2 linked regions of the Bombyx mori genome follow. The protein of the gene in region 2 purifies or fractionates together with the protein of the main gene of each other region. This does not show direct contact. Links are inferred from orthologs where the notes say so. Each region holds a gene or a part of one and is shown on either strand. Other genes may lie near its edges.

Region 1 (3,969 bases), on a different chromosome or scaffold from region 2:
TCGCAGAAGTCGAGCATCGCCTGCCAGGACTCATCGCTGCCGAGCATCGCAGCCACGACGGTCGGAAGCGACAAGTCCGGTCCTATTTTTGCAACGAGGACGCGGCGCTGCTCCGCGAAAACATTACTACTTCTGCCCTAAGGTGGTTTGATTCATATCTTCGGGGCCGTTCACAACGCACACGTCAAAATGAATCCTTCTCAGACTGGGTTGCTGTTGATGCTGGCGTGCCTCAGGGTGGTGTTCTCTCTCCGCTTCTTTTCTCAGTGTTTATTAACACAGTCACTACTTTGATATCCTCAAATTTTCATCTTTATGCAGATGATTTGCAAATTTACCATCACTGCGCACCTAGTGAAATTGATGGAGCAATCAAGGATGTTAATTGTGATTTGGAAAACATTCATGAATGGGCAACGTCTCATGGACTCTTACTCAATGCCAACAAAACACAGGCCATCATAATTGGTAGTAGATATGCTATTCGTGCATTAAATCATTCTGCAATTGGATCTCTCATATTGAATGGCCAACCAATTGTCTTTAGTGAAACTGTTAAAAACCTTGGCGTTACCTTTAACTCTTTCTTAAGCTGGAATGAGCAGGTTAACAATGTTAGCAGTAAAGTTAACTTTACATTCCATTCACTCAAATGTCTCCAATATTTTTTGCCTTTGGAAACTAAAATTTCTCTTGTCCAAAGTCTCATTTTACCCATTTTGGACTACGCTGATGCTTGCTACTTGGATGTCACTGAGGAGCTTCTCAATAAGCTTGAGCGTTTGCAAAATTTGTGCATCCGTTTTATTTTTGGTCTCAAAAAATTCTGAATTCTATTTCTGAATTTCGCAAAAAGCTCAAGTGGCTCCCAGTCCGTTTCCGCAGAAATACTAGAATGTTGTGCTTCCTATTTAATATCCTACATAATCCTAACTACCCACAATATTTACGTGATCGCTTTACCTATGCCCGTCCCTCCATTGCTCCTTGTAGAACCCACATTAAAACTCTCCTCAATTGCCCTGTTCATAAAACACATGCTTACGCAAAATCGTTTTCTGTACAAGCAGTTATACTTTGGAATTCCCTCCCTCCAAGCATACGAGCGTGCAAAACCATAGCAGCGTTCAAGAAATCTGTTAAGGAACATTATTTATCCTTACCATCTTAAATAAATTATATATATTTGTATAATGTATTATAATATAAAGTAAGTATATGTGTGTATGTTATATATATGCATGTGTGTGTGTGTGTGTGTATTTGTATGCATATATATTGTTTTGTATCTTGTAATATGTATATATTATTATATGTAATGTTTACTGTATGCACTAGGTTTGTGTTCCTAATTCTTCTTTCCTTTTGCGGGCCTACTGGAAGAGATTTCAGCATGAAATAAGTAGTGCCCTTGTACTCTGTATCCTTATTGACGTGTCTTTTCTAACAGCTGTGTGTACAAAATATATTAAATAAATAATAAATAAAAAAAAAATGCTTGTGGAGGATTATTTAAAAAAGCAGTTAGGTTAGACTTAGGTAGCAGAGGTATCCATTTTGTTGTGTCTGTGGGATCTAGTAGCTTCTACACACTAGAGCAACCACATTTGCTATACCCATCTATCCCATAAAACATACATATTATGTGAATCAAATCGCAATTACAATTATCAAAATATTCAGTTTATTTTTAAGTTATATCAGTTTGATACTAGAAATTTTAAAAAGGAAGATCTTTTACACAGCAAGTATTTTTGTTGGAATATTGTGTCTATGTGTCTAACAGTGAAGAGAAGAGTTGAGAACTTTTTCAGGTTATTACCCAAATTATTCTATTTACTTTGTTCGGCCAGATTCATTATGACTAATCTCAAAATCTATTTTGCAGTGGGTTGACCGTTGCTATAAATTAGGTGGTGTAAAGGACCAGTTCCGTTATGATGGATGGAGCTACGCTTGAGCATAAACACTAAGTACATTCATATTTTATTTAGCTTGTGATCTAAAGCAAGGGAAGGTCTTATTAGTCACAAGGGGATATTTATAATACATGTCCAATTATTCTTTATTATTTTTGGCAAATCATGATCCGAATATGGAGGATTAGGTATTTGTCACCTCATTATGTTTTCCTAAGTGTAAATATTAAGCAATTCTCATTTTATGTATTCTATTGGGCTGTATACCTGAATTGTATGCGTGGTTTAATACCGTTTGCTGTTTTGATCTACTTAACACGAAATGGACTACAATAAGCTGTGTTATGTGCCAAGTCCTTATGTTCTATGTTTACAAAATCTGCAAGTCTTCTTCAATAATATAGAACTGATTCTTGATAGACGAATGTTGCTGTCTAATTATGCAAATTATTCGTATAGATTCAAAAGAATAGATGGCAAATGGGGTTAACTTATTTAAATGGGTTGAAACAATTTTGATTTCTTTTAAATACGTAAAATGCGTACTTTGCACGATCATATATTTGTTTGGCAATGTGACAAAGGTGTCTGTATGCCAATGCCCGGCTCCCGACGTAGAATTACTCAGCATTAAAAACCAAAATAATCAATCTCGATGTATGTACTTATTGCAATGACAGATGTGCAAATCAAAGTTAATATTTATAATCCAAAGGAAAGGTACTTACAATATACTTTTCGTGAATTAATTTCCTATGCGAAGTTTTAATGGCCTGTTGAATATTTTGTTTATATTTTATGTACAAATTATATTATTTCGTCCGTAATTCTTTGTCAGGCTTATTTTTGACATTGACGTCTCTGGCGCAAATGCAATGTTTTTTTTTTTTTTTTTTTCTCCCATTTCTTGGCCTGCACGGTTTGTGCGTCAGCCACGCAAAAAGGTTAGGAAGTGTGTTAATGGATTTATTTTTTGGATTTGAAATTGGAACGGAATTTGGAAAAAGGATCAGGTATATATATTATATAAACTAAGTACATAAATGGTTACAATTTTATATTATTATGAAAAATGAAACTAGCTAATATTCTATATACATCAATATTGATATTAGATAAAAGGATAGAAATTGAAGTAGGAAAAGGAATTTTAATGGACAAAAGTGAGGAAATAAAAGCGGAACGGTCATTTCGAGGACAGGCAAAGAATATATGATTAAAATCCCCAACGTCATTGCCACACTCACATATATCACTAGGCAAAAGGTGCATTCCCTTGCCAAATGCAAGGGAATGCATGCATGGCCCAGCTTCATGCGAATAAGGGTCGATGTGATAGCTTTACCAAACGTCAGATTTGAAAACCACGGTTTAGGAGGTATATCCACCTGGATCGTGCTGTAATTTAGTCTGTCTTGAAGAACGCCAAATGTGAGTCCAAGAATTCAATAACTGGAATTTAGGAAGCAGAGCTAAATCACAACAAAAGTTTTTGTACGGAACCAAATCTCCATCATTGACCGCAGCTTTGGCAAGGCTATCGGCCTTGGCATTGCCAAAGATACCCGAATGCCCCGGAATCCAAGCAAAGGAAACTGTGTAATTTTTGATGCAACATTGATACAATAAATCACGACATGCAATAATCACAGGATGATTATTTCGGTTACTGTTAAAAGGAAAACGTTCCGAGGCTTGGAGGGCACTTTTAGCGTCAGTTAAAATTATTGACTTTTTAAGCTTCATCATTAAAATGTACTCCAGAGACTTCAGAAGACCAAAACATTCTCCAGTAAATACTGAAGTCTCTGGAGGCAATTTTATTTTCTGAACAATGCCAAACTGTTGATGGAAAATGCCGACCCCCACACACTCCTCGGGACCGGGTTTGGAGGAATCGCTAAAAATTAAATGACAATTTTTCCATCGGCTGTCACTGTCAATAATATCAACAAATTTGGCATTGATAGAAAGATCTTGTTTACTTAGGCCGAAATCAAACATAATAGATGGATTTAAAGTTAGGGCATCATAGTTAACACAAAATATT
Region 2 (2,630 bases):
ATGAGTATTATGTGAGGGAATATCCAGCAATGTGAAATGAGTGTTATATGAACATCGTCAGTCCTTTCCGACCTTTAATCACCAGTCAGTATTTACTTGTAATTTGGGCTTAAAATTTACCACCATCCATTCTATTTCTGTCTTGACGCACATTGATGAAGTAATCTAAATAAAAAATATACAATCACATTTTTTTTCATCTTCACAGAAAATGTTCGAGAAAGGACTCTAAACCTTATCGGAAGATCGTACAGTTCCATAAAAATAGATAAACTGATCTCAATGATTGGTCTCAGCAGGGAAGCCACATTACAAGTCTGTCAAGATCGCAGGTGGACTCTACATGATGATGGCATGACAGTGAATCCCTTACCCCCAGCACAACCAGCCCCATTGCATACTTCTAGTGAAGATCAACTTTTCAAACTAACAGAATTTGTGTCATTCTTAGAAAATTAAGTAAGTTTCGAAAATAAATCAGTTTCTAGATTAGATCTTAATTAAAATCCCAAAGTTGGCTTTGAAGTAAGCAACTCAGCCTGTAGAGTCTAAACCTTAACTCTCAACCCCTTGAGGGAAAGTGGCATTAGCTATGATAGTTAATAATACTAAATGCCTCCATTTTGTGTCATCAAATTACTTCAAGAACTGCAATAAGTTAATTGATAATTTGTTAAAATAAAACATCTTATATAAATTGCAATACTATTCTGTTTTGCAAGTTATCTTTTGCAAGTAGGTGGTGTGTTTCTAAATACCCATAAACTTTTTCAATATGAACATTTTGAATTGTAATTGGTATTAATAATAATATATCATAGATCAGATATCTATGCTATCTTTTTTAGGAAAATATTGTATTAAATAATAGATCTATAAGTTTTAGCTGAAACCCAAATAATAATACAGAAAAATAAAACACTAATCCAAATATTCATCAAAAGCTAATGAAACTTGGATAAAAAAATTACTACATAATTGCACACAAAGCAGACGGTTCTCTGTTGCATACTTCAAAGCCTGCTCTTAATCGAAAGCTATTTAATCATTCAAATATATAAATGTAGTTACAACAAAGGCACATTTTAACTAAAATTTCTGGTTTTAGGAAAATATTTCGAATTTGAGACTAAATTTGGTCTTCAGTTCATTCAATTGCGATTGCAATATCCAAAAGAACTTAGAGGTTAAAATAAAAGAATGTCATTTATATTTAATCTCATTTATTAACAAAATTGGAAGTCTATAATTGGTAAAAAAAAATGGTTTTCTTAACTTCTACTGAGATTATAATGGAATAAAAAAAAACGTAAAATAAGTTGGCAGTGTAAATTGAAAGAGCTAAATAAATTCTTAATTAAAATAAAGCTATTAATTCTAAAATAGTTTTCAGTGACTCCTTTTTACTCCAGTCACACTAGTAAATTCAAAAAGATTTTTAAAATATCACAAGCAGTTATTTTTAATTGTAATCTCATAACTCCTATCCTTTTTTAAAGTAAGAATAAGTCACTTGGGACGATTGTTTTGGCAACTCTTAGTTAAAACCTCCCTTGGAATGAAACTTGGTTTTGTCTTGGCTGAAGTCGCATGGAATTTGAGTCATCGTCGTCCCCGAGTGAGGCTTCGTAGGCCCTGTTGATCTGTCCTCCGTTGGGCTCCGAGAATACATCCTTCACTGAAATATTAGCATTCGATGCTCTATGACGAGGTCCAACGTTATTATTGAGCTGAAAATAGTACAATCATTAGAATACCATGGTTACGGAAAAACTTAATAACAATATAAATCATAAAACTAAATAATAAAATAATTAAAAATATAATATTGTTTAAATACTATACTAAATACTGATGGAGATATTTGCGGCAGGGATGGGTTTCACCATTCTGCCTATTTCTGCTGTGAAGCAAACATGTGATCCCGTGCAGTTGTGTGGTAATGTCGAAGTGTTAATACCTCATATCTGACGCATACGTGATGTTGATGGGCTGTTTTTTTTTAAGCTTAGGTGGACGATCTCACGGTCCATCTGATGTTAAGTGAGTAAGTGCGGGTTTCATTTTTATTACACGATGTTGTTCCTTCATTGTGCAAGTCAATCGTGAACATTTGTTGAGTACGTAACTCAGTACAAAAATTGGTATCGGCCTGGAATTCGAACACCGTTGCATCGCAAGATACGAATGCACTGGACGTCTTATTCTTCAGGCCACGACGACTTTAAACAACTTTAACTATTTACCACGACAGTAGGCGGACCCTCTGCCCATCTTCAGCAAAAAAAACAGCATGTTAACTATTTCATACCATTCCAGTAACACCGTATTCATTATTAGCGCCAAGTGTCTGCATTTGCGACTTCCTTCTTTCTGCCATTACAGAGTTACGACGGGTCTCTAAAGCTTTCAATGTCTCCCTTCTCAATGTCATTTTACGATTTAAAACTGGGGTACCTGAAATAATCATAAAAAGCCCTTCAGTGCCTATTATAATTATGAACACTTAATATTATAATAGACATTAGTATGGGATGAGTTTCATATCACCCAGGACGGTGCACGGTGGCGCAACATTACAAGAAAGATACTTCTAGAATGTGGCGGTCACAATTCTTATAAATGAGGAA

What was found. Proteins that work in one complex are often made in the same cells at the same time.
Region 1: the proteins of COP9 signalosome complex subunit 8 (region 2) and cullin-2 purify together in Homo sapiens (affinity purification with mass spectrometry; 4 studies listed by BioGRID and IntAct, counting the BioPlex papers as one, with this or other methods). This does not show direct contact. The link is inferred for Bombyx mori from reciprocal best matches to the Homo sapiens genes COPS8 and CUL2.

Annotation. Positions count from the first base shown.
Region 1 is NC_085129.1:21,461,517-21,465,485, forward strand, and holds the start of cullin-2, read right to left. Parts: upstream 2,801-3,969; 5' UTR 2,648-2,800; intron 1-2,647.
Region 2 is NC_085110.1:11,097,225-11,099,854, reverse strand, and holds part of COP9 signalosome complex subunit 8, read left to right. Parts: intron 1-208; coding exon 209-459; intron 460-1,108; exon of another isoform or gene 1,109-1,541; coding exon of another isoform or gene 1,542-1,730; intron 1,731-2,311; coding exon of another isoform or gene 2,312-2,457; intron 2,458-2,630. Other genes in the region: chitin synthase A, read right to left, coding at 1,542-1,730, 2,312-2,457. UniProt on the Homo sapiens protein: Component of the COP9 signalosome complex (CSN), a complex involved in various cellular and developmental processes.